Linked DNA regions of Cricetulus griseus. The main gene of each other region encodes a partner of the protein of the gene in region 6 in a complex. Links are inferred from orthologs where the notes say so. Each region holds a gene or a part of one and is shown on either strand. Other genes may lie near its edges.

Region 1 (4,292 bases), on a different chromosome or scaffold from region 6:
AGGTGTGGTGGTGCACACCCAAGCATCTGGGAGTGTGAGTCCAGCCTCATCTACACACAGAGTTCTAGGACAGCCAGGGCTATATAGTGAGACTCTTTCAGAAGGGAGTGGGGGGGGACAGAAGCTAACTCTCCATTGAGAGGGGATGAAACTTCCCACTGGGACAGTGCATGACTGTTAAAAGGGCTGTGACACCCTTGACACACGTGGGTATTCTGTATCCCCCGTATTGAGTGTTTACTTGTGTGGCAAATCAAAAGTGCTTAGCAGGATGACTGGCATGCAGTAATCGCTCAGTAATTGCCTATTTCACAATATTAAAACCTATTTATTCAAAAGAAGTAAAAAGTCAGGTGGCGGTGGCGCACGCCTTTAATCCCAGCACTCGGGAGGCAGAGGCAGGTGGATCTCTGTGAGTTCGAGTCCAGCCTAGACTGGACTCGAACAGACTGGTCTCTAGAGCGAGTGCCAGGATAGGCTCCAAAGCTACAGAGAAACCCTGTCTGGAAAAACAAAAGAAGGAGAAGGAGGAGAAGAAGGAAGAGGAGGAGGAGGAGAAGGAGAAGGAGAAGAAAGGAAATTATGTATAGGAACAAGGCTTGGTAGTGGTACATGCCTGTAACCCCAGTCCCCAGTACTGGGGAGGCCAAGGAAGACAATTCACGTGATTAAGACCATCTTGAGCTAGTGACATCCTGTCTTAAAAGATCAAGGACTGAAATGTAAGTCAGTGGTAGAGCTCCTGCCTAGAATCCCCCAGTGAGGAGCTGGGGGTGTGGCTCAGTGGTAGAGCCCCTGCCTAGAATCCCCCAGTGAGGGGTTTGGGGGTTTGGCTCAGTGGTAGAGCCCCTGCCTAGAATCCCCCAGTAAGGGGTTGGGGGCGTGGCTTAGTCATAGAGCACAGGCCTAACACGGCAGCCCAAATCGGGGACTCAACAGGCCAGGGTTCAATAGAGTGACTTGGTGCTCCAGAACATTGTGTAAAAAGGAAAAAGAACAGTCGATTATAGCCCTCCCTGTTCTGCAAACCCCAATTGGTCAGGGCAGGGCCAGAGGATGACATGGGACCAGGGATGAAGAAAGCTTGCAACTTCCCTGGTCATCGAGTTTTCCATTTCCTCTTTTGTGTGGAGGAAGCAAGGTCATATCCTCTGTTACAGAGGTGCCAAATCGCAACTCTCCTAGCACCATGTCCTAACCTCAGGGCCCGGGCATAAAAAAAGTACCCTTGGGGCTGGAGAGATGGCTCAGCAATGAAGAGCACTGACAGATCTTCCAGAGGACCTGGGTTTAATTCCCAGCACCCACATGGCGGCTCACAACTGTCTGGAACTCCAGTTTCAGGGGACCCGACACCTTCCCACCAATGCACACAAAATAAAGTTAAATAAAGCAAAAAAAAAAAAAAAAAAAAAAAAAAAACAAAAAAACACAACCAGCCGACAGACCACAACCCCAGAGAACCTAGTTGACAAAGACGACCCTAAGAGAGACCTACATGGATCTGCCTAGGAAAAGGAAAAAGACAAGATCTCCTGAGTAAATTGGGAGTGGGGGAAAAACATATAGCTCAACTAAATAAATAAATCAAATAAATTTTAAAAAGGGACCCGCTTAGAGGGACACAGACTCCAGGCTGCAGTTCCCCATCTAACTTCTCCAGTAATGACCCAGTAATGACCATCCTTCCAAACTGCTGCCAAGACTTGGCTTTTGTTTTGTTTTGTTTTGTTTTGTTTTTGAGACAGGGTGTCATTCTGTAGCACTGGCTGCCCTGAAACTCACTCTGTAGACCAGGCTATCCTCGAAGTCAGAAATCCACCTGCCCCTGCCTCCCGAGAGCTGGAATAGCAGGCGTGCACCACCACGCTGGGTAGTTTGTAAAATTATGTTTTTGTTGTTGCTTTTCTGAGACAGGGGTCTCACTTAGCCCAGGCTAACCTGAAAATCACTATGTAAGATTCAACATCCAACTCCTCTGCTCCTACCGCCCACGGGAGTGCAGGGATCACACGTACCACCACACCCTGTTTTACTGAGTACTGGTAATTAGACCCGGGGCTTGCAGCACTCCCCCCCCCCCCCCGAGCACACCTGAGCTGTATCTCCAATCCATTTGTCTTTTAACACCATAGCTCACAGTGTAACTCAGGCTGGCCTGAAACTCACTATGTAGCCCACGCTGGCCTGGAACTGCAGGCAGCACCCTGCCCCAGCCTCTTGAGGGTTTAGATTCCAGGTGTAAGCTGCCACGCCCAACTGCTAGAACTCTTCATTTAGGAGAGCCAATGCCAGGGTTTTCTGACCTGAAGAACCTTCTCAGTTGTGCAGCCCTGTGAGACTGCTGTGGTTTCCGTAACTCCTCCTGGTCCCCGACCACATCCCATCCCCAGTGTATGAACTCCGTGTGCAGGTGGGAGAGAGCAGATGAAGACAGCTTGAAGGAGGAAAGGGCAGACAGAGGCCGACGGGGAGAATGAGGGGGGGAGGAACCCACTCACCATGTCCTGGCTCCACCTGGGCTCTGTGGCGACCAACAACGGATGCCTGAAGGTCCCTCCTGTCGACGGAGTGGTGCTTTTTAAAGAAGAGATGCAAGCAGCTGGGAGGAAGTGACTGTCTTGTCCCTCTGAGGTGCTCATTGGTCACACACTGACCATTCGAGTTGGGGCTCCCTCCACTGGTGCTCTCCCAGAAAACCCTCAGCACCTCCCAGTGCTACCCAAGCCAAGGAAAAAAGGCAGGCTTGGAAAAATAAGGAAGTCTCTGGCCCCGGAAGGGAAAAAGGCAATTTCCAGGGCCTCTTCTCCATTGTGGTAGATGTAGCTGTCTTACTATACAGGCTTTGGTTCCCTCATCTGAAGGGGACTCTGCTTCAATAGAAGGAAGTCTCAGGGTTCCTGGGGTTTCCAGAGAATAAGGATGGTAACCACAGCCCCAGACTCCCAAACAGATGGCCTTTTTTTTGGAGGAGGGGTTGTTTGTTTGTTTAAAGATTTATTTACTTATTTATAAGTGCTCTCTCTGAATACACACCTTTATGCCAGGTGAGGGCATCAGATCCCACTAGAGATGGTTAGAGGGTTGTGAGCCACCATGTGGGTGCTGGGATTTGAACTCAGGTCCTTTTAGAAGAGCAGTCAGTGCTCTCTAACTGCTAAGCCGTCTCTCCAGAGATAAAGCACACTCGGGGTTGTAGAGCTAGCCCAGGTCTTAAGGTTCTCTCCCATGGGAGGTGGGTGTGTGTGATAACACACCCCTGTAATCCTAGCACTCAGGAGAAGGCTGCTGCAGGAGAGTCACCCTGCACTGCAGAGTGAGACCTTGTCTCAAATAATAAAAACAAGCCGGGCAGTGGTGGCGCACGCCTTCAGTCCCAGCACTCAGGAGGCAGAGGCAGGCGGATCTCTGTGAGTTCGAGACCAGCCTGGTCTACAAGATTTAGTTCCAGGACATTCTCCAAAGCTACACAGAGAAACCCTATCTTGAAAAAGAAAGAAAGAAAGAAAGAAAGAAAGAAAGAAAGAAAGAAAGAAAGAAAGAAAGGAAGGAAGGAAGGAAGGAAGGAAGGAAGGAAGGAAGGAAGGAAGGAAAGAAATCAAATAATAAAAACAAGCACAAACGACAGAATCATAGCTCGGTTTGTAAAACTCCTGCCTGGCATGCTCAAAGCCCTGGGTTCCATTTCCAGCATAAAATCTGATTAAGTGGTGCATCCAATCCCAGGACACAGGAGTGTGAGTTAGTTTTCTCTCATCCACAGCCACCAGTGCCCGGGAAAACCTGTCCCCTGTGGAAGGTGCACGAGCCGAGCAGGTGGTTGCGGCCCCCATTTCTCCAAGAAGAGCAGCTGAACTGTCAGTGGATCCCTGAAGCTGAAAGGCCACCATAGTGTGGCAATTATCATTACTAACCCCAACCTGCTGCCAGGCTGAGTGCAGCTCCAGGCTGCCGCCACGCTGGCTCCTGAGGCAGGAGGTGGTGAATCCATCACGACAGGGCTGAGACACAAGGGGCCTTCCCACACTGGTCTGGTGGGCTTGTGAGAGATTCTACTGTCTGCTCTACCAAAAAAGCAGGAGGCTGGAGAGATGGCTCAGAGGTTAAGAGCACCGACTGCTCTTCCAACAGGTCCTGAGTTCAATTCCCGGCAACCACATGGTGGCTCACAGTCATCTACAATTTAATCTGGTGCCCTCTTCTGGTGTGCAGATATACATGGAAGCAGAATGTTGTATACATAATAAGTAAATAAAATATTTTTTAAAAATTAGCTAACTACATGAAAGTAC
Region 2 (2,873 bases), on a different chromosome or scaffold from region 6:
CCTATCCTATGAAATGGATGTATATGTATATGTATATGTGTATGCGTATGCGTATGCGTGTATGTATGTATGTATGTATGTATGTATGTATGTATGTATATATATTCCCTGTGATCTTGCAACTTTCTTATAGAAAGTATCATAAGCACAGTACCCCCCACACAGCAGGTGATGAGAACTCACTTATCTGATTCAGATAGCTGCTGCTTCTAGCTTTCTACTCTCCTCCTCATGTGACTCAGCAGCTTCCATGACTCATCCAGATGAAAATTCCAGCCCTTCCAGTCATTTCTTCAGCCTTTTCATCTCACTGTTTCTAATAGTTACCAAAGGCAGTTGAATAAGTTTGGCTCACTATAGTTTTCTGAGCTTCTTTCCCCCTTGTCTGCTCTAGACACGTGTTTATAAGACTTGTAAACTAAACTCTCAGCTGAAGACGTTTTCTGCCTTGAGATGTGATCCTTAGTGTTAGCAAGGATTCGTCCTTCCAGAATCTTTATCTGTAGCTTGGGCATTATTTTGCTTTGTCTGTGCTCTCACTTCCTTGGCATTTCCCAAGAAAGAGAAAATTTTTCAACACAAGCGTTTTATCAAGGTCTATTCAGTTTATGAACAGAAAATGAGAGAGAATGGAGAAAGTGAAAGGAGAAAAAAAAGGAGGGGAGGGAGAAAGAGAGGAAAGACAGGCACAACACTCTCTAGCCATTTATTGAATAATGACATTGAATAAATGCTCTGTATCCATATATTGAACAATAGAATGAATTAATCTGGTAACATGAGCCCTTTTGTATACAAGAAACTAAGGCTCAGAAAGTTTTTTTAAAAATGATACATGGACACAATAGCAGAACCCACTTTGGTTTCAAGTCTTTCAGTCCAATTGCACTTCTCTTTTCACCTACATCTACTGTGAACTTGAGCTATCAAGACTTCTCAGTTGCCAGTCTACCAGAAGAATGGGGCTTGTGACAGAATATAAATCAATGTTGCATGTCCTTGATCAAGAAAATCTTTCTATGGAAAAGAAAAAAATGTTCCTTACTGACTTTATATAATGGCCCAATTCTCAATCTTGTTATAAATAGCTCACCAATGGAATCTGGCCCATGAACCTTACTTTTTTGTAACATGGGTCCTAATAATCTCCTCCTACCATATGGATTTAAACCCCACATGTCTATCATTTCAGATGCTCTCAGCACCACTGCCTCCTGGGACAAAATGGAGTCCTATGATTATTACTATGATCTACAGAGTCATCTATGTGAGAGCGAGACCACCTTTGCCAACTTCACTGCTGTCCTCTACTCTCTGGTATTATTCCTCAGCCTGATGGGTAACAGCCTGGTTTTCTGGGTCTTGGTGAAGTATGAGAATCTAGAGTCACTCACCAATGTCTTCATCCTCAACCTGTGTCTCTCAGACCTTATTTTCTCCTGCCTGCTGCCTGTATGGGTCTTAGCGCAATACTGGGGTTGGTTGCTGGGTGATTTCCTCTGCAAACTCCTCAACCTGATCTTCTCCATCAGCCTCTACAGCAGCATCTTCTTTCTCACCATTATGACCATCCACCGCTACCTGTCTGTAGTGAACCCCATCTCTACTCTGGGCATCCATACCCTCCGCTGTCGTGTGCTGGTGATCACATCTGTCTGGACAGCCAGCATCCTTTCCTCTATCCCTGATGCTATTTTCCACAAGGTGAATGTCTCAACATGTGACTATTCTGAACTTCGTGGGTTCTTGGCCTCAGTCTACCAGCACAACATTTTCTTTCTCCTCTCCATGGGGATCATCCTGTTCTGTTACAAACAGATTCTCAGGACCTTGTTTCGTTCAAAGTCCAGACAGAGGCACCGGACAGTCAGGCTCATCTTCACCATCGTGGTGGCATACTTCCTCAGCTGGGCTCCCTACAACCTCATCCTCTTCCTCAAGACACTGCAGGAAACTGATATCATCCAGAGGACCTGTGAGATCAGGCAACGGCTGGACATGGCTATGATCATCTTCCGAATGTTGGCTTTCTCTCACTGCTGCTTCAACCCAGTGCTTTATGTCTTTGTTGGGGTCAAGTTCCGCAGACACCTAAAAAGTCTCCTTCAGCAGGTCTGCCAGAAGACACTCACCCCCGTCCCATCCTCCTACTCCCCAGGTGCCTTTACATATGAGGGCCCCTCCTTCTACTGAGAGGAGAGGATGGGTACCCAGAGGTGACTAGGGATGCTGGAGAAAGGCAAGGAGAAGTAGATCAGGAAGGAACACTTCAGAAGACACAACAGTGGAGATGCCAGCAACTATTGCAGGGGTGTGGAGGAACGACATGACAGCTGTGGGAAAGTGGCTTCCAGCTGGGCCATCCAAAGCAATACTTCCTGGACTCCGTTCATCATTCATTCTCTCACTTAGACATAGATTGCTTATCAGTGATTGGTCAGAAGATCCTAAATAGAAGGATTTGCAGACATTGGGTGGGCTCAAACTCTCAGCATGTACGAATTGGACAATGGGGTTGCTGGCACATAGGATTGCCAAACCTGATCTCTTTTGTTTGTTTTTTGTTTGTTTGTTTTTGTTTGTTTTGTTTTTTGTTTTTTTTTTTTTTTTACTTTGGTGATGTCTGGTTCTGTGCTTCTTTTCAGCTTCTGGAGAAAATGTCTTCAGGATAAGAATAGTTACATCCTCAAATAAGTATAGTCACAATGAAGTCTAGACCATAAAATCCCTCTAAACTGAAAATAGTTCTATATTCTGGCAACAACTGCTAATACACAAACTAGCTTTTAAATATTTACCCCATAATTGAATGCAATATGTGCTACCATCTAAACTAAATATTTAGACAATGCAAGAATGAATAAGATATTGTT
Region 3 (3,264 bases), on a different chromosome or scaffold from region 6:
TATGACGTTTCTAGATGGCGCTCTGAAGCACTTGCCGGAAGGTGGCGGCATAAGCAAGCCCTTCTAGCGTAGAGCTGTCCCAGGTGCTGAACCCAATTTCAGAGAGCTGCAGAGCGGGTAGCGATAGGGTCTTCAGAAAGTTCTCGGAAGATTTGCAGACTGGTGAAGGAGACAAAAGTCCAAAGTCCATAGGAAATGCAAGTCCTTGTTTACAATGCATCTATGTATTGTAAGCCATTTCTTTCCACAAATTTACTTGCTACAAAGCAATAGGAGGTGTTAATGACATTGAAATGAAGAGAGAAGTGATGAAAAGTGTGTGTGTTTAGAATACACACCTACTTGGAGTTTTTAATCTTTTCTTTGCGACCCAGCTGTTTATCAGCTCTTGTCCTTTAGCGTGTCCTTTATAATTTTTCCCCATTCCACAAGGAAACTAGGAAAAGGTCATAGGCACCAGCACTCCAAGATAGACTAAGATGTCAAATGAGACTGCGTTTTTAAGAAGCTAAGACCCACACTCTCAACCTAATAATTCAGAGGGTGACCCGGGGCTGCCCAAATTTCCAGGCTTCAGGCTTTCTGTATCTGTCCCCATTTTCTATAAGCACACCGTGAACCTGGCTCTACTTGAGAAGTTGACAGAAATAAAGGGAATGGATGGTAGGGAAAGATTTTTGTCTCCCTCTAGTTTCCTGGGCAGGAGGCGGAGTTTCATCTGCTAAAACATTGGTTTGACTAGCGGATCGGAGTGGGCATGTGAAGTGAGTTCTGAGTGTGTCGACTCGAATGTAAAGACGCCTGTCTAGAAGGATAGGAGGAGGGCGGGGACCTAGAGGAAGGAGACACACTCTTGGCTGGGGAAGTATTGGGTGGTGGTGGGGGTTAGCGTGGGAGGAAGGGAGATTAGCTGTCTGAGCAACATATATAGGGATAAAGAAAGAGGGGTGAGAAGGAAAGGAGAACTGAAAGGAAGGCCAATAGGAGGAAGCCGAGAGAAGGAGGCTGAAAAAAGAAAAACCGAGACTAGAGAAGTCCGGAGGGAGAGGGAGAGAAGGAACTAGGAGACCAGGGTCACAGAATGACCCCAGAGCTTGGGGTTTCTGAGATTCTAGACTGATTGCTAGTCGGCAGAGTCGGGCTCCCGCAGCTAGTTGGGCAGCGACAAAGTGAAATGGACAGCGTGAGACAGATGTTCCAGCCACCTCTCCACCACTCAGAGATTTGGAAGCTGCTCTGGGGCTAACTACAGTTTCCTAGCTGGAGCCTCTGAGCGCTCGGGACCCGCGGGAGCCAAGCAAGAGAGCGCGCCGGGAAGCTGCCCCTCTCAGATGCCTTCGCTAGAGCAGTAAGAACTTCCCGCTCCAGTCCCTGGATCCCCTCCCTCTGAAATTCCCCAGAAAAGGAGGAAGACCCTAGGGGGAGGGGCGAGGGAGATCCCCCTTGCAGCTCTTTCCCCCTCCCTTCCCCCACCCCACCGGGCGTGCAGGCAGACATGGATATATTCAGTCTTGGCCAGGGCAACAACACCACATCTTCCCAGGAGCCCTTCGGGACAGGCGGCAACGTTACTGGCATCTCCGACGTGACCTTCAGCTACCAAGTGATCACCTCTTTGCTTCTGGGCACTCTCATTTTCTGCGCGGTGCTCGGCAATGCCTGCGTGGTGGCTGCCATCGCCCTGGAGCGCTCCCTCCAGAATGTGGCCAACTATCTTATCGGTTCCTTGGCGGTCACCGACCTCATGGTGTCAGTGCTGGTGCTGCCTATGGCTGCTCTGTACCAGGTGCTCAACAAGTGGACTCTGGGCCAGGTCACCTGCGACCTGTTTATCGCCCTGGATGTGCTGTGCTGCACCTCATCCATCCTGCACCTGTGCGCCATCGCGCTAGACAGGTACTGGGCGATCACTGACCCTATAGACTACGTGAACAAGAGGACGCCCCGGCGCGCCGCTGCGCTGATCTCGCTCACTTGGCTCATTGGCTTTCTCATCTCCATCCCGCCCATGCTGGGCTGGCGCACCCCGGAAGACCGCTCGGACCCCGATGCATGCACCATCAGCAAGGACCACGGCTACACCATCTACTCCACTTTCGGCGCTTTCTATATCCCTCTGCTGCTCATGCTGGTTCTCTATGGGCGCATCTTCCGAGCCGCGCGCTTTCGGATCCGCAAGACTGTCAAGAAGGTAGAAAAGAAGGGAGCAAGCACCAGCCTCAGTACATCGTCGGCCCCGCCCCCCAAGAAGAGCCTGAACGGACAGCCAGGTAATGGGGACTGGAGGCGCAGCGCTGAGAACAGGGCTGTGGGGGCTCCGTGCGCAAATGGCGCGGTTAGGCAGGGTGATGACGAAGCCACCCTGGAGGTGATCGAGGTGCACCGAGTGGGTAACTCCAAAGACCACCTGCCGCTGCCCAGCGAGTCGGGAGCAACCTCCTATGCCCCCGCCTGCCTGGAGAGAAAAAATGAGCGGAATGCTGAGGCAAAGCGCAAGATGGCCCTGGCCCGTGAGAGGAAGACAGTGAAGACTCTGGGCATCATCATGGGCACTTTCATCCTCTGCTGGCTGCCCTTTTTCATTGTGGCTCTGGTGTTGCCCTTCTGTGAGAGCAGCTGCCACATGCCTGCATTGTTGGGTGCCATAATCAACTGGCTGGGCTACTCCAACTCCCTTCTCAACCCAGTTATTTATGCTTATTTCAACAAGGACTTTCAAAATGCATTTAAGAAGATCATCAAGTGCAAGTTCTGCCGCCGATGATGATGGTGAAGAGGAGGATGGTGTTGGTGGAGAAGGAAGGAGAAGGGGAGGACTGTAGGGGTTACAGGATCCTCCCCGTTCACTCAGTGTCTCAGCCCTGGAAGCAACACCTGAGATAACTTGCTTTTCCTTATGACATGCAGCTTCTTGGCCCATGCTTTCCGATCTTGCTCTCTTTCTATTCCATTTCAAGGAGACAGTGCTCTTTGCAGAAACCTTAGAAGCCTCCTAGAGTCTGCAAAAAAGTTATTGGCTAAGTCTTTGGCCCTAGGATCAGTTTTGATAGTTGCAATAACCTCCTCCCTCTTCGAAATTAAACCTCGGTGGTTCAAGGCAGAAAATCCAAACAGAAAATATAAGCTGCATGGACGTCTGCCAGGAGAACTGCCACCTCTCTGCCCTACTTCTGGAACTTTGAGATTCAAGACTTTGCTCTGTCTTTAGAAACATCTACTCCCCTTTGGGTGTCAACCTTCTCCACTGAGTCTGGCTCCTATGTA
Region 4 (4,244 bases), on a different chromosome or scaffold from region 6:
CAAACAATTAACTGTGCATCTGGCGATTCCTTTTTACAAGGCAGAGTACGTGTGTGTGTGTGTGTGTGTGTGTGTGTGTGTGTGTGTGTGTCCCTTTGGGTTGTCCCCTCTGATCTTTCTCCCCTTCCCCATCTCTCTGCACAGAACCGGTATCTCTTGACCCCAATCAGACTGTTCCCAAAATGCCATCTCTGAGGCTCCTTTATTTCAATCCTTTTGCCCTTTACAACTGTGTCCAAAGCCCAGCTAGTTCTACTTTGCAGCTTGAAGCTAGTCAAACCCCAAGCTGAGCCTCTCCTACTGACAAGGGATCTGCTCCTCATATTAGAAGTCACATTGTGTCCTCACAAGTGGGTGACAAGCAGAGAGAGGCACAAAGGCATGCATTTGCAGACACCACAGCAAACTGGCACATGCTGTTCTTCATAAACGCACAGAGACAACCACCAGGCAGAATGGGCAGAGGGAGAGGCCTGGGTGTGAGGCAAAGGGAGAGGGCATGAGGTCATAGGTAACTGGAGAACTTAGAGGAGAAGTGGCGTCTAGATCTCAAGCCCCAAACACACTTTTAATTCTCTAATTACCTCCTTTTCTAGAGAAGGAAACTAGAAAGCAGTGGTAGGTGGTGTGGTGGCAAGGAGGAAGCTGAGGGGCCAGGATCTTATGAGTCACCAAAGGCCATCTTGAACATGTCATTCTTGCTGAGACAGTATCAGACTGCCCTGTGCTTCTCACACTCGGTGCTGGAGGCACGTTTATAGCTTGATTGTGCACTGGACCTCTTTCCCACCCCTCCCACTTCCCTTCTCCCTTCCCCCTCCCTGAATTACCACGCTGGATATCAAACCAAGTGCTGGGTAATGGCTCTACTAAGGAAGCAACTTCTCAGGTAAAGTAATTCCTGCTTTACAAATGAAAACAAACAAACAAACTAGTGTACAAAGAGATTAACTCACTCTGAAGTCAAACAAATCCCGTGCCACATTACAAGTTGCTATAGTGCATTCTGAACTACACAGGTCCCCACGATTTCCAAAGTTCAACTCCCGACACTCTTCAATCGAGGTTAGCTAAATAGGTGGATGGATGGATAGAGCTTCCAATAATGTGTCCATGAAAGGTGAAGAAGGCTGTACTGGGGAGAGGGGACAGGGATTATTTTAGTTTTCCGGTTAAAGAACTCTCAGACTGCCCAAGAGTCTGAGGCCTCTGCCTTGGTGACCACATCCCTGCCCACGGTGCTCAGGCCAGTGTTGCCAGGCACTTCCTCGTTCCGGGGCGCCCTGGACGCCGCTCCTACGCCCAGTGCCTGGGCAACTCAGGCAGGAGGGGGCCAGAGGGGAGGTGTCGTAACCGCCTCCCCTCCCTCTCTCCCCGCCTTGGCACTCAGCTACCTCGCAGATGAGCGCTCTCGCAGACTGCAGCGGGCGGCCGGGCGCCCGGCATGTCCCTTGAGTGTGTGCAGAGGACGGGCACTGGCCCCTCGTGCACCCTGGAACGAGACAATCGCACCCATTTCCCTTTCTTCTCGGATGTCAAGGGCGACCACCGGCTAGTGCTGAGCGTTGTGGAGACCATCGTGCTGGGGCTCATCTTTGTGGTGTCACTGCTGGGCAACGCGTGTGCCCTGGTGCTCGTGGTGCGCCGTCGGCGCCGCGGGGTGACAGTCAGCCTGGTGCTCAACCTCTTCTGCGCGGACTTGCTCTTCACCAGCGCCATCCCTCTAGTGCTCATCGTACGCTGGACCGAGGCCTGGGTGCTGGGCCCCATCGTCTGCCACCTGCTCTTCTACGTGATGACCATGAGCGGCAGCGTCACGATCCTCACGCTGGCGGCGGTCAGCCTGGAGCGCATGGTGTGCATCGTACGCCTGCAGCGCGGCTTGAGCGGCCCGGGGCGGCGGGCGCAGGCAGCGCTGCTGGCTTTCATCTGGGGTTACTCAGCGCTCGCCGCACTACCCCTCTGCATCTTGTTCCGCGTGGTTCCGCAGCGCCTTCCCGGAGGAGATCAGGTGAGCCCTGGCTGCGTGCAACGCATCAGGTGTCCCGGGCGGCTGGGATAGGGTGGGGGTGGGGGGATCGGACCGAAGTGGTGAGCTAGGATGATGGTGATTAGTAACAGTAATGGGTCGTTTGTGGAACTGAATCCTTTCTGGCAGACTTGCTGAAGTTTAATTTCATCAGTTTCCGTCTAGTGCCAAGTGGGTAAGTAAATCCTCCCGAATGCTGTTAAAGGGACTCTCCGGGACTTTTGCAAAATGAAGCGACTATTATAAGGCAAATTAAGCAACGTGAGCTTACGCCCAGATGGGACAGCAGGGTCTAAGGTGGCTCCTTGTGGAGTTGCTACTTTCTTTTCAGATGCCACGCTACTGTTACTATCACATGTATTTTACAGAAGCTGGGGCACTCACCGTCTGTCTCCCTTAGACCTGGGCTAGTACTTAAAAGTGCTGTCCCAAAGAGAAGGCTTATAGTGGGGAAGGGTTCCTGCTGCAGAGTTAAACTTACTCTGACCAGAAACATTGGCTGTGTGACCCCACCGGAACCCTTGAAACCCTGTTCTTAGAAGTTTGTTTCTTGTGTGGAGAACTGTGGAGGGAGATGTTTGTTTGACAATGACTTTGAATGGCTAATGAGCAGGAACTCATCAGGTCTGTGGCACTTCCTTAAAGAACATGCAAGCCTGTGACCAAGTCTCCCAGGGTGGGTACAGGAGATAGGGTTAGTTGAGTTGATGATACTGCTGGCCTGGAAGAGACATAGGTTCTCTATCTCACCCCGGGGTTGTTCTCAGCCCAGATAGGCTTGGGCATCAGGGCAGACTACACATAGATGCTTCTGGAATAAGTGAACACTCAGGCCTAACTCCACATCAAAGGGTCAGGTAGGTCACAGGCATGTCCAACCTGTATCCAACAGACCACATGTCAATATTATGTAGATAGCTATGAAGATGACTGGACACAGATGACAATGCCGTGCCACAGTCTCAAAATGTTGGACACCCCAATAAGAGCAAGGCTCTGCCGTCAGTTATCTGTTTAAGCTGTTTGTTCACTGAATTACAACAACATTGCTTTATTTTTCATAGAATTTAAAGGATTTCTTGTTCTTAACACAGAAAGATTTCAGTTTCAAGAATTAAGACCAAATAAGATATCTCAAATTTTCAGATGCACTGTCCCTTTTAAAATTCATCCAGGTGCAATCCTATTTAGCTGGCAAATAACACGAAGAAGAAAGAGGAGGAGGAGAAGGTCTCATCTCCTCCCAGCCAAACCCCAGGCTGAAACTGTGCACTACTGTGGTCACTGGGGCTGGAGCCATGAGGTCCTTGCTTGTGTTGTTCAGTGTGTATTCATCCTGCTGGGAGGGAATGTGTGTGACCGAGACACCTACAGCACTTCCAGAATATTACTGCAGGTTCTTCTGTGGAGATCATGGTTAGAAACCTCTTGTTTTAGTGAAAAAGCACCTGTTGGATTTCAAGGGTCTTTGGAGGGGCATTTGGGCAAAGCCACTAGAGTAGAATGAGCTGCTGTTGTTTTAGGGGCTAGGTGACAGGAGGCTAGTTATTGAAAGTAGTAGGGTTGGCATGGGGAAACTTGTAATGAAAAAAAAGAAAAAATGGGACAGTGTTCTGGCTCCCTGTCTTTCTTGTCATCTCCTCTTCCTGACTGTCTCTCTCCCTCTTCCCATCTCTCTCTCTCTCTCTCTCTCTCTCTCTCTCTCTCTCTCTCTCTGAATTATACTCTTTCTCTTCCTCTCTCCCTCCCTCCCTCTCTCTCCCTCCTTTCCTCTCTCACTCTCATTTTTTCTCTTTTCTTTTTTTCCTCTTTTTTCCCTCATTTTATTTTGGAAACACTGTCTCTGTTGTATATCTCTAACTGCCCTGGAACTTTCTAAGTAGACCAGGTAGGCCTTGAATGGGCAGAGATCCTCCTGCCTTTGCCTCAGGGTGCTGGGATTCAAAGCATGGGCCATCATGCCCAGTTAACTATCCCCTCTCTTATAGAATGGAGCTGTCCCCACTTCTTTGAGGCTTTATTTCCCACCATTTTAGCTACTGTGGCTTCAGTTACCCATTGACAACTGAGATCAGAAAATATTAGGTGGAAATTCCAGAAAAATAATCCTAAATTTTAAATAACTTTTATTTCAGTCTATGGTTATAATTTGTTGATTTCTGGCTAATCTCTTACTGTGTCATACTCATAACTTAAAATTTAGCCTAAGGGTGTA
Region 5 (4,231 bases), on a different chromosome or scaffold from region 6:
AGTCAGGCCAACTAAGTTGGGTTCCAGTTCAGGAATTCTGCAGCACCTAAGCATATTGACTTTGCTGATCAGTCCACAGAGATGATTCCAAATGTGTTCTTCTTAGCTCTGTTTTCCCTCCACAGCTCAGGCTATAAGCACATAGTGGCACAAGGTCCTGCCATCAAGCAAGAGATTGTAGACATTGGGACCACTTATGATTTTATCTCTGGAGACAATGAGCATAGTGGGCATGCCCTCACTTCAGACCTAGGAGGGCTCTAAGCAGAATGCATGCTGAGGACAGAGAGTGGCAGTCAAGAGCCCTACAGTGCAGAGAGGAGCCGTCTTGAAGAACACAGGCTGCTCCAACTCACTATGCTCTCCAGGGTCTTTGAGGTGCAAAGAGCTGTCTCACTAAACACAGCTGAGAAGATCATCTCTGAATCAATGAATAAATGCAATTTATTCATTGATTTTTTAAAAAGAAAAATCTAAAATACACACCAATCTCAAGTGTTATTTTGGCCATTTGTGGTTCCTCGAGTTGGCCCAATTCCTTGGACATATAGCCAGTTCAGAACCTGGCACTCAAGTTCTAGAGTCATTAACTAGATGACACTTACTTACTGCCTGACAGAAAACAGCAACTCCAGGTCTCTTATCTGTAGCTATTTAGGGCCTGGAATAAATGTGCAAGTATTAACATTGACTCAAAAGATGTTTGCAGCTAGACTACTTGGTGAGAAGCCAACTATTTCTGGATGAAAAAATAGTCAAATTTTCACCCATTCATTAGTTCCTAGACTTTGTCTTCTGTGGGACTTTTGTAGACTCTTTATTGACAGCCTGTTTAGTCCTAAAAGTTTACTTTTTCATTTCCACAAAGATGGAAATGGTTTTCCCCCTAGGGACTTGGGGCAGGGGATGAAGAGAGCCTGTGTTTCCTTTTCAAAGTAGCAGTTAGGAATTTAAAAGAGCAATATTTTAAGTACAGCTCTAGTTCCCAGCCCCTGTCCTCCAGAGGCCAATTAATTGTCATCTCCTGAAACCCCTTCTTTTACCAGACTCACCATCTGGTCAGTTGTTGCATCCCTCTGAAAGTCCTCTTATTAATAAGATAGAGATGGCAATTCCCACCCAGAGGCTCGAAGACCAAGCTCATGGGTGTGTGTGCATGCCCCACAACTCACTGTGCATAGAAGTCTTTGCCTTGCATTTGAAAAGACCAAAGGAATAAATTGGCTACTTCCTGACAGCTAGGCTGTACAAGCATCTTGGGAGCCAGTGTATTCATTTAAGTAATATGGCCATTCAAAAGACATACTGATCACATAGACGTGGGGAAGATGGATTCTTTTAAATGTATTTTTCTGGTGGAGATGTACCTTATAGTGGGATGTAAGAAACCATTGCTTTTCTAGATAGGAAGTTGTTTATGGTCCTACTGCCCACAGTCCAAAAGATTGGGAGTCAATGAAGGATAAAGTTGCATGGAAACTTTAGAATTTGCCTTGCAGGGATTCCCCCCTTCCCCGCTAGTTCTCATAGTACCCTAAAAAGAGATATGACATTGAGGTTATCTCAAGAACCTCATCAAGTGGCCACTAAAAATACACTCTGGATGATTAATGGTGCATCAGGTGGTGATTGAGAAGTCTAAGACTTTTGATTAATGTAAATGCCCATTTCTCTGCAATTCCTTAGGAGTTGTGAGCCACAGGTTCTTCCAAAATCATGACGACAAGATAGATAATCATATAGCTCCCCTCGCTGTGTGTTCTTGCTGCCCCTTTCCAGACCAAGCTCACCACCTGGATCCCCAACGCTGTCCACAAAACCTTGCTGGGAAACAGCAGCTGCCCTTCCACCCATGGTGTGTCCCAGCAGATCTGGGACACACACCTGCCTCTGTGCTTTGTGAGGCCACCTGAGGCAGAGCTGCAGTGCCCTTGAAGAAAAGCAGAATGAAAGTCTCTCTAGACAGGAATGCGAACTCTCCCCAGTACCTCTCAAACTCTAAGTTAACTTTCTTGTGTCACAAATCATTATAGAGCAAGCTGAGACAAAATGGAATGGAGAGGTAGAAGGAGCAGAGGAGCAGGATGCTAGAGGCTTGGTCGGGGGGACAGTGCTCCCCACTCACCTTGGCATAGCAAAAGCAGATGAGCAGTAAGGGCAGGAGATAGCCAAAGACGAAAGTGCACACCACATAAGCCTTCTTGTGGAGCTGGTTGGGCCAAAGCTCCCAGCAGAAGGTTTGGTTGTTGTCCCGATAGTAGAGACGCTGGTGGTAGGCCACTGGTGAGGCCATGGCGATAGACAGTGCCCAGATGAAGCCCACGCCCAGCAGCGCATTGCGGGACACCCTGAGGGAGGAGGAGCGCCGCGAGTGCACGATGGCCACGTAGCGGTCCACAGACATCGCGGCCAAGGTGAAAATGCTCACGAGCATGGATACAGTGAAGAAGTAGTGTGTGAACTTGCAGATGAAGGCGCCCAGCACCCAAGTGGGCAGTGCGTACACGGTGGCCTGGAAGGGAATGCAAAAGAGCAGATAGGCCAGGTCTGCGATGCTGAGGTTGAGGATGAACAGGTTGGTGGTGCTGCGCGGCTTGCCAGGTTTGCTGCGCGCCAGGACAGTGATCACCAGGCTGTTCCCCAGCACGCCCATCGCGAATATCAGGCCGAACACCACCAGCGTGATGAAGTTCTCCACGCCGATGCCAAACAGCAGCCTGGACTCCACAGCCGCGGGAGGCTCTGGATCACTCCCGTTCCCCTCGTTCCCCTCGCTGAGATTCAAGGTAGCCAGTTCCATCACTTACTGGCACACCCCTTGGGTGTCTATGCAACGGAAAGCGCTGGGAAGGAGTGCCAGGCAGGGAAGGCGGGCTCTGGGGATAGCTGAGAATCTCCGGGTGTCTCGGCACAGTGCAGTGAGAGCGTGTATCTCCAGCCAGAACCCCCAGCAACCTGAAAAGAGAGCAGGGGGCAGCGCCCCGGGCCGCGCCTGGTCAAACTGTCCTTGGTGCCTGGCCTGGCTACAGAGGGGGCGGTGCTGCAAGTACCTAGTTGAACCTTCCCATGCGGGGGCGGTGGACTCCACAACACAAGAGGTACTGGTCCTCTGTGTGACTCCTCCGATTGCGAGCTGGGCTGATAGGACTCGACCACGCGATCAGCCTGGTCTTTTGCGCCTTACCGGTTCTAATCCTTTTCTGGCCGTGTCCCCTTGCTCCCGCAGTGCCGTGGGGTCGCACCTGTTGCTCTGAGCCTCTTTATCCAAGCGAGCTGTCAGGGCACTGTGCTGCACACCTTGGATAGTGCAGAGTCGCTGAGCTTCCCACACTAAGCGCTGCGCTGCGCTGCGGCTCCCTCCTGCTTTCTCCCTGGTCTTCTGCAGGGCAAACCTCTCTCTGGGGTTCCCAGTGGCGGGCAGAGTTTCTTCTGCACGGGGGGGGGGGGGGCGGGCGGGGGCGGCGAGCAGTAAGAACTCAACTGCGTCTCCCCTGTGCCTCCGGAGTCCCTCCTGAAAAAGCACAGCTTGTTCTCTGAGCCTGGGCGCCCTCACCCAGATGGGTGGCAGCCCACCTCCTTGTTGGAGAGCTGCTCTGGTCCCTCGAAGGAGACTTCTTCGCACTGGCAGCCAAGCTGAGTAAGCTCCTGTGCGCGACTGGCTGAGGCGACAGGCTGTGCAGCCCTTCTGCCAACCGTACCCTGGTCTTTCCCGCTCCCAGCAAGAGCAGAAATAAACCTCACAAAAAAATCAAAAGGTTGGTCCTGCTACCGGAGGTGCTGTCACATTCGCTGCCTCTTTCCCTCCCTCATCCAGTCACAAGCTGAGCAGGGAAGAGGCAGGGGTGAATGGAGTTTTCATTAGGAGCGTGTCCTGCGCACACCGTACACCTCGGAGATCAGTCATTTCCACCACACATTACTCATCTGCGTGACACGAACGAACGGAAGCCTTGACAAGTGGTGTGTTTGTAAAGAGGTGTGGGACTTCCACCACCGCTGAAACCAGGGCAAACCAACTAGAAACAGCTGCCTATCTGGTAGTAGACACGGAAAGAAAACCCTGCCATTGCATGTACACGGTGTAGGAAGGGCTTAACTACGTCGCTTTCAAATAAGCCAGGGTCCTCCAGTGTGTGCGTAACCACAACTGTTGGACACAAGGCCGGAGGAAGAGTAAACACAGGCAGGGTCCTGGAAAAGCTCTGTGCCCAGGACATTGGCTCCTAGCACA
Region 6 (3,500 bases):
ACCTAGTAAACTTTAGGCAGTTTTCTCCTGAGATGTTTCAAATAGGCCATTTAACTACAACTCATTTTCAGATGTCCTGTGTGTGTGTGTGTGTGTGTGTGTGTGTGTGTGTGTGTGTGTGTGTGTGTGTGTTTCTATTTCTGTGGCTGCAAGAGGGAAAGACAAAGGCAATACTGAAGTTTAGCATCAATGAGTTCTAAAATCTTAAATCAATGTACCAGCTTGTCTGCCTTCTGGTTGGCTCACTGTGTGATGACAGGTGCTGAGAATCCCAGTAGAATCAGACAAAGGAAGGCAGCAAGTATTACGTGTGGAACTCTGGGAGGGACTGGCAGAGGAGATAAATGTGGTGGTTGATAGAAGATCACAGATGGCAAAAGAAAGTAGAACTACCTTGTTGGGGGGTGGAGCAGGGGAGATAGTGTTTGAAGGATTTCGATATGATCAGTCCTGGGCATTCTTGTGTTTATATTCTTAAGTAATGCTTGCTGTGCACAAAGCATGGGAACATCTCTAGGAAAACAGGAGAAGGAGGCTCTCGAAATACACTAGCCAGGAACTAAGTCTTTCTCAAACAGGAACTAAGTCCGGAACATGTGGCCATGCTAAAAAAATAAAAAAAGGCCACAAATGTGTGAAATTGTCAGACATTGCCATGTCCTGTGCTCACATGTTCTCAACACACAGAAAAACTTGGTTGGTCTAAGGTGACACAGTAAGAGCATCTACTGCTAAATGGAATGAGAGTGAAAGGGGACCCTGTTTCTTTGGTAGTAGTTATGGTATAGTTATATGGCATAAAGCCTGGGTTTAGCTCTTAAGGAAACCTTTTGCTCCTCCCTCTATTCCTCCTCTCTCTCTTGTCCTCTCTCCCCTTCCTCCTCCTCTATCCCCTCATCCATTATCCCCTTCCTCACTTCCTCCTCATTGTAGATTTACTTATTTTGTGTGTATAAATGTTCTTCCTGGATGTGTGTTTACCATGCATATGCTTGGCACCTGTGGATATCAGAAAAGGGCATCAAATATCCTGGCACTGGTATGAGGATGGTTGTGATCTGCCATGTGTGTGCTCTGAATCCAACCTGGGAGTGCTCTTAACTGCTGAACTATCTCCACAGCTCTCTGGATTGTTTGTTTTTATATTTATTTTTATTTTACATGTATGAATCTTTTGCCTGCATGTATGAATATGTACCACATACATACCTTGTGCCTTCAGAGATGAGAAGAGAAAGTTGAATCCCCTGGAACTGGAATTATAAGTGGTTGTGAACTGTCCAGTGTGGGTACTGGGAACAAAACCTGCTTCCTCTGTAGGAGCACCAAGTGCTTCTAACCACTGAGCCATCACTGCAATCTCCCAACTGGCTTCTTCATAACACTGTCCTTCTACTTCAAAGGAGCTGAAAGTTACTATTAAGATATTTTCCCAACAGTTGAAATGTGGAACAAAACCATGATTGAAACAATTTATAATACTTCAGTTTTCAATCAGAGGTGATTTGTTTTTATGTCTATGTTTTTTTGGTTTTGTGAGATACAGTCTTGGTGGCTACCTTGAAACTCACTAGGTAGCTAGGGGTCACTTTAAATCTGCCTCAGCCTCAAAAATGCTGGGGTTATAGCTTGGATATACCATGCCAAGCCAAGGACTGGATTTCTTTTTAAAGCTTTAGGGAATATACAATAACAGAACACTTTTTTTTATTTTTAACTGAGTTTATTGGCATTGAAATTATTATGAAGTAATGGAAAAATAGACTTCAATCTGAGAATTCTTATGTTCGGAAACAAAGTTCATTTTAAATTTTATTGTTTTATTATGTTTTAAGATGTGCAATGTACTGTTAAGAGATCTACATACAGTGAAGTGGTTACCATAATGAAAAAAAAATAACATTTGTCATTTCACACAATTACCCATTTTTCTTCCTATGATAAAACTACTTACTTAGCAAGATCCTGAGTACAGGGCTGGGTACTGATCAGTGCCAGAGCATTTACTTGCCTTGAATATGTGAGGCCCAGGGTTTGGTCCCCAGCCCCACAAGAAAGAATGGGAAGGAGGAGGTGGAGAGGGAGCAGGATGATTCTGAGACCACTTCCTACTGACTGTGATATGCATGTTGTGCTCTATGTCTTTGCTTCTCTATCCTCCGTAGTTGCTGCTCTGTATCTTGTTTTAATGCAATACCAGATTCAGTGTGAGTGATATATAGGGTGTGAGCACACCTGTGTGTGTGTGTGTGTGTGTGTGTGTGTGTGTGTGTGTATGTGTGTGCTGGGAGCTGGAGATTCTTAAGTGCTGATGCTGAATGAGAAAATCCTTCTTTTGTTTTCTAGGTGCTGGTGAATCTGGGAAAAGTACAATTGTGAAGCAAATGAAGTGAGTAGCTGGAGACAGGGCAGTATGTCTTCCTGGCTCTGAGTGACGGCTATAAAGGAAGTGTGCTTCTTTTCCTCTCCTCTCTTTAGAATCATCCATGAGGCTGGTTACTCAGAAGAAGAGTGTAAACAGTACAAGGCAGTGGTCTACAGTAACACCATCCAGTCCATCATCGCCATCATCAGGGCCATGGGGAGGTTGAAGATAGACTTTGGAGACTCTGCTCGGGCGGTAAGTAAGTCAATGAGTTTGCTGGAGCAGGTCTGAGGAGTATCTCATGGGATAGTCCTGTAGTTATGTAACTGAGGCCAGACAGCTACTGGGAACGCTTGACATACAAAGTGCAAAGGACAGGCATGAGTTGGGAGCCTTGGAAGTAAGTACTTTTCACCTGCTGCTGTTTCTACTGACTTATCTGGACTGTTAAGAATGACCGAAGTTTCTATATAACAGTGTATTAAAGTCTTAGGAACTTTTTGTCAATCCTACAAAATGCCTGTACAAACCCACTCAAGTGGGGACAACTTGATTTGGGCTCACAGTGTCATAGTCCATGGTTGGCTGTTTCCATTGCTGAGGTCTTGAGACAAGGCTAAAACAACATGGCAGGGAGGGTGTTGCAGCAGTGGGTCACACCATGGTAGGTAGAGAGAGAGAGACAGGGAGGGGCCAAGGACAAAATATTCCCTTTGAAGACATTCCCAGTGACCTGATTCCACCAGCCAGGCCCCTATTCTAATTGCCTGGTCACCTCTGGATTTTTCAGCATTTTAATTCACTATGATGCTATGGCCTACCACCCACTCCCATCCAGACATCTCTCAATAGGCCATTAGCTGGGGACCAAACATTTATCATGTGGACATTTGCAGCCCTTTTATACCCAGACCATAAGATTTAGATCCTCTCTACCCCTATGCTCATCTGCTATTACCATAATAAAATACCAGAGATAATTAGCTTAAAAAGACAAAAGGTTTATTTTGCTCACCAGATTGGATATTTCAGTCTACTACTTGGGAAGCTGAGGCAAGAGGCCTGCTGCAATGAGAGCAATGTGGACTACACCTTGAGTACTAGGTCAGCCAGTGCTACACAGCAAGGAAACAAA
Region 7 (2,922 bases), on a different chromosome or scaffold from region 6:
ATGTATGTATGTATGTATTGTGTGACATGAATGTGCCACTGCACACATCTGGAGGTCAGAGAACAACTTGTGGAGTCAGTTTTCTCCTTCTACCATGTAGATCTTGGAGATCAGATTCAGGTAATTAGGCTTGGCAGAACATACCTTTACCCTATCTCATCTGCCCTCTGCTATAAAGTTTTTATGTTACACCCATGAAAGGGTTTTACAGAAAAACAGGGCCGTTACTATAATAAAGGAATATGAGGAGACCTGCTTGAATTATCCTTACATATATAATAGGCCCCAACAGTCAAATGCATGAGAATTGTCCAATAACAAGTAGCTCTGGGACCAAGTAGAATTGACATACTTAGAAGTTTCTGGTGACAATCTCAAATGATATAATCCAGAGCATAATTAAAATGTAGTTAGTTAACCACATGGAGTCATAATCTTGGACTCCATGTGTTGTTTCCCATCTATATTACTGCCCCAGGCTTCAAGGGTGGGAGTGGTTTGTTGGCTGCTATCTGATCTGGTACTGTATGACCACTGAATTCTCCTGTGAAGTGCTACACGAGTCTGTGAAAGGAGGTAGGTCCCAGCCATGGTCTGTTTTGATAAGTTTACATTCCTATAGATAAGTAATTTTAATACTCCTATCTTGGTCTTAGGTGAAGGAAGAAATTTGGGATCCTCTTTTCTATTGTCTCTGTGGAAACAGAGATCACTACAGCTTATCCAGTAATACCATGTGGCAATGTGTGTCAAAATGAATGGATGCCAACTATAAGGGAAGGGGAAGGCCAGGAAGCATTTCTGAAAAGCTGGGCAGGGTCAGCAGGGAACTCAGCTCACCCATGACAACAAGCAACTTTAGGGTACATTTATATGCATCCTTGAAAAAATGAGCTGCTGTTTCTTTTTACTATCTCTATTCCCATAATAACAATGCTAAGAAATGATGCTCATATGGTTCAATTATTTATTTTAATATAAAAATGAAATGAACTCTGTACACATGCCATAGCAACAGAAAAGGTTAGGGATCCTACTGTATTTTTTGCTGTCTTGTGATGCAATAATGCTACTACACACATTGTGTAGATAGCCAAATGGTCCCAAATAAGGTCCAAAATGAAATCCTTATTTATGTTTTGTGTTAAAGCAGCTGTTATTAACACAGCAAAGGACTCAATATTTGCCATTCTATTGTAGGAAAACATGAAGAAATAAAGAAGTACACACAAAGAGCATGTCATTAAATACTCTGTTCTGAGGGCTACAGAAGACACTGAGAAGTCACACTGTAACAATGACGACTACTTCAGTTAACAGCTGGCCTTGCTCCTCCTATGGAATGCACTTTATAACGAATCACAGTGACGAATCCTCACAAAATTTCTCCACAGTGCCAAATGATACTAGCTGTCCAATGGATGAAAAACTACTATCTACAGTGTTAACAACCTTCTACTCTGTTATTTTCATCGTGGGACTGGTTGGGAACATCATTGCCCTCTATGTATTTCTGGGCATCCACCGCAAAAGAAATTCCATTCAAATTTATCTACTTAATGTGGCCATTGCAGACCTTCTACTCATCTTCTGCCTCCCTTTCCGCATAATGTATCACATCAACCAAAATAAGTGGACACTAGGTGTGATTCTTTGCAAGGTTGTGGGGACGCTATTTTACATGAACATGTACATCAGTATTATTTTGCTTGGGTTTATCAGTTTGGATCGCTATGTAAAAATTAATCGGTCTATACAACAAAGGAGGGCAATAACCACCAGGCAAAGTATTTATGTTTGCTGTATAGTATGGGCAGTTGCTCTTGCTGGGTTTTTAACTATGATCATTTTGACACTGAAGAAGGGAGGGCACAATTCCACATTGTGTTTCCATTACAGAGACAGGCATAATGCAAAGGGAGAAGCAATTTTTAACTATGTTCTTGTGGTAATGTTCTGGCTTATTTTCCTACTGATAATCCTCTCATATATTAAGATTGGCAAGAATCTACTAAGGATTTCTAAAAGGAGGTCAAAATTTCCTAATTCTGGCAAATATGCTACAACAGCTCGGAACTCCTTTATCGTACTGATCATTTTTACTATATGTTTTGTGCCTTATCATGCCTTTCGATTCATCTACATTTCTTCACAGCTAAATGAGCCTTCTTGCTACTGGAAGAGAATCGTTCACAAAACCAATGAGATCATGTTGGTTCTTTCCGCTTTCAACAGCTGCTTAGATCCAGTCATGTATTTCCTGATGTCCAGTAATATTCGCAAAATCATGTGCCAACTTCTTTTTAGAAGATTTCAAAGTGAAGCAAGCAGAAGTGAAAGTACTTCAGAATTTAAGCCAGGGTATTCCCTGCATGATCTATCTGTGGCAGCCAAAATGCAGTACAATACTAAGGGTAACTGAGGCAAATGTGCTAAAATAAAATGATACCAGCCGGCTTCTTCCTTCCTTGAGATTGGTAAAATTATGGAACAAAGCCCCAGCATATCCAAAACCCAGATCTTCAGAAGTGATCTTTCACTTGCTTAACTGTAAAATAGTTCAAGGCAAAGAAAAGCTTACATTATCCCTTACATTTTTAGAACTATATGTAGAATCTTCTCAGAACTTATTGTTAACACGTTTAACATCAGTTATAACATTAAGTGAAATTCCTGGATTTAAAAACAAAATGAATGAAGTGACATTGTTTTTCAAGTCACTAAAGAGTTACTAAAATTAGGCACTTGATACTAATTTTAAATATGTTGAAAAATAAAGCAATTTGGGGATTGTGTTGAAATGTCAGAAAACATGTTTGGTACTTCAACAGCATATATTGCTTGCTGATGTATGCATTTATGCCTAAATCTCTGCTAACAAATGAGTTAATAAAATTCTAATCAAAGTGAGACCACCCACTA

The links.
Region 1: the proteins of Gnai1 (region 6) and C5a anaphylatoxin chemotactic receptor 1-like are in contact, whole or in part, in a cryo-EM structure (PDB 8HK5), measured with the Homo sapiens proteins. The link is inferred for Cricetulus griseus from reciprocal best matches to the Homo sapiens genes GNAI1 and C5AR1. Residues at the interface, in NP_002060.4 of Homo sapiens: Arg24, Ala31, Arg32, Glu33, Val34, Lys192, Asp193, Leu194, His195, Lys314, Glu318, Tyr320, Phe336, Thr340, Asp341, Ile343, Ile344, Lys345, Asn347, Leu348, Lys349, Asp350, Cys351, Gly352, Leu353, Phe354; in NP_001727.2 of Homo sapiens: Asn71, Arg134, Leu137, Val138, Pro141, Ile142, Cys144, Gln145, Asn146, Phe147, Arg148, Ala150, Thr229, Arg232, Arg233, Ala234, Thr235, Arg236, Ser237, Lys239, Thr240, Val243, Val244, Ala303, Gln305.
Region 2: the proteins of Gnai1 (region 6) and Xcr1 are in contact, whole or in part, in a cryo-EM structure (PDB 9AST), measured with the Homo sapiens proteins. The link is inferred for Cricetulus griseus from reciprocal best matches to the Homo sapiens genes GNAI1 and XCR1. Residues at the interface, in NP_002060.4 of Homo sapiens: Glu28, Ala31, Arg32, Leu194, Asp315, Phe336, Thr340, Asp341, Ile343, Ile344, Lys345, Asn347, Leu348, Lys349, Asp350, Cys351, Gly352, Leu353, Phe354; in NP_001019815.1 of Homo sapiens: Glu63, Thr66, Arg127, Ser130, Val131, Pro134, Leu135, Leu138, Val140, Arg146, Tyr205, Leu212, Ser215, Ser217, Lys218, Arg219, Arg222, Thr223, Leu226, Ile227, Val290, Gly291, Val292, Lys293, Phe294.
Region 3: the proteins of Gnai1 (region 6) and Htr1a are in contact, whole or in part, in a cryo-EM structure (PDB 8PKM), measured with the Homo sapiens proteins. The link is inferred for Cricetulus griseus from reciprocal best matches to the Homo sapiens genes GNAI1 and HTR1A. Residues at the interface, in NP_002060.4 of Homo sapiens: Arg32, Lys192, Asp193, Leu194, Lys314, Asp315, Glu318, Phe336, Thr340, Asp341, Ile343, Ile344, Lys345, Asn347, Leu348, Asp350, Cys351, Gly352, Leu353, Phe354; in NP_000515.2 of Homo sapiens: Arg134, Ala137, Ile138, Pro141, Ile142, Tyr144, Val145, Asn146, Ile218, Ala222, Arg225, Ile226, Lys228, Thr229, Met335, Arg339, Lys342, Thr343, Thr346, Leu347, Asn404.
Region 4: the proteins of Gnai1 (region 6) and Ffar4 are in contact, whole or in part, in a cryo-EM structure (PDB 8ID3), measured with the Homo sapiens proteins. The link is inferred for Cricetulus griseus from reciprocal best matches to the Homo sapiens genes GNAI1 and FFAR4. Residues at the interface, in NP_002060.4 of Homo sapiens: Ala31, Arg32, Val34, Leu194, Gln304, Glu308, Lys314, Asp315, Glu318, Ile319, Tyr320, Thr321, His322, Phe334, Asp337, Ala338, Thr340, Asp341, Ile343, Ile344, Lys345, Asn347, Leu348, Asp350, Cys351, Gly352, Leu353, Phe354; in NP_001182684.1 of Homo sapiens: Arg71, Ala73, Thr74, Arg136, Cys139, Ile140, Leu143, Gln144, Arg145, Gly146, Ile230, Ile233, Thr234, Ser237, Arg238, Arg240, Leu241, Ser244, Leu245, Ala246, Tyr247, Ser248, His251, Arg254, Gln258, Arg261, Leu262, Leu266, Leu269, Met323.
Region 5: the proteins of Gnai1 (region 6) and Galr1 are in contact, whole or in part, in a cryo-EM structure (PDB 7WQ3), measured with the Homo sapiens proteins. The link is inferred for Cricetulus griseus from reciprocal best matches to the Homo sapiens genes GNAI1 and GALR1. Residues at the interface, in NP_002060.4 of Homo sapiens: Lys192, Leu194, Lys314, Asp315, Thr316, Lys317, Glu318, Tyr320, Phe336, Thr340, Asp341, Ile343, Ile344, Lys345, Asn347, Leu348, Lys349, Asp350, Cys351, Gly352, Leu353, Phe354; in NP_001471.2 of Homo sapiens: Thr70, Arg133, Ala136, Ile137, Ser140, Arg141, Ser143, Val223, Leu227, Lys230, Leu231, Asn233, Ser235, Lys236, Lys237, Ser238, Ser241, Lys244, Thr245, Thr248, Leu306, Ser307, Glu308, Asn309.
Region 7: the proteins of Gnai1 (region 6) and Gpr34 are in contact, whole or in part, in a cryo-EM structure (PDB 8XBE), measured with the Homo sapiens proteins. The link is inferred for Cricetulus griseus from reciprocal best matches to the Homo sapiens genes GNAI1 and GPR34. Residues at the interface, in NP_002060.4 of Homo sapiens: Glu28, Ala31, Arg32, Val34, Leu194, Asp315, Glu318, Ile319, Tyr320, Asp337, Ala338, Asp341, Ile343, Ile344, Lys345, Asn347, Leu348, Lys349, Asp350, Cys351, Gly352, Leu353, Phe354; in NP_001091048.1 of Homo sapiens: Asn87, Ile89, Arg152, Lys155, Ile156, Ser159, Ile160, Gln161, Gln162, Lys164, Ile166, Leu245, Ser253, Lys254, Pro256, Asn257, Lys260, Tyr261, Thr264, Asn267, Ser268, Val271, Met330, Ser331, Ser332, Arg335, Lys336.

Annotation. Positions count from the first base shown.
Region 1 is NC_048602.1:10,938,766-10,943,057, forward strand, and holds the start of C5a anaphylatoxin chemotactic receptor 1-like, read right to left. Parts: upstream 2,801-4,292; 5' UTR 2,643-2,800; coding exon 2,502-2,642; intron 1-2,501.
Region 2 is NC_048597.1:230,777,829-230,780,701, reverse strand, and holds Xcr1 (chemokine XC receptor 1), read left to right. Parts: upstream 1-1,176; coding exon 1,177-2,193; 3' UTR 2,194-2,373; downstream 2,374-2,873. UniProt on the Homo sapiens protein: Receptor for chemokines SCYC1 and SCYC2. Subsequently transduces a signal by increasing the intracellular calcium ions level. Receptor for XCL1/Lymphotactin.
Region 3 is NC_048595.1:323,737,568-323,740,831, forward strand, and holds Htr1a (5-hydroxytryptamine receptor 1A), read left to right. Parts: upstream 1-1,495; coding exon 1,496-2,764; downstream 2,765-3,264. UniProt on the Homo sapiens protein: G-protein coupled receptor for 5-hydroxytryptamine (serotonin). Also functions as a receptor for various drugs and psychoactive substances.
Region 4 is NC_048596.1:23,682,747-23,686,990, reverse strand, and holds the start of Ffar4 (free fatty acid receptor 4), read left to right. Parts: upstream 1-1,444; coding exon 1,445-2,011; intron 2,012-4,244.
Region 5 is NC_048595.1:233,140,610-233,144,840, reverse strand, and holds the start of Galr1 (galanin receptor type 1), read right to left. Parts: upstream 2,801-4,231; coding exon 2,126-2,800; intron 1-2,125. UniProt on the Homo sapiens protein: Receptor for the hormone galanin. The activity of this receptor is mediated by G proteins that inhibit adenylate cyclase activity.
Region 6 is NW_023276806.1:175,922,431-175,925,930, forward strand, and holds part of Gnai1 (guanine nucleotide-binding protein G(i) subunit alpha-1), read left to right. Parts: intron 1-2,346; coding exon 2,347-2,389; intron 2,390-2,478; coding exon 2,479-2,620; intron 2,621-3,500. UniProt on the Homo sapiens protein: Guanine nucleotide-binding proteins (G proteins) function as transducers downstream of G protein-coupled receptors (GPCRs) in numerous signaling cascades.
Region 7 is NC_048604.1:119,203,975-119,206,896, forward strand, and holds Gpr34 (probable G-protein coupled receptor 34), read left to right. Parts: upstream 1-1,211; 5' UTR 1,212-1,297; coding exon 1,298-2,422; downstream 2,423-2,922.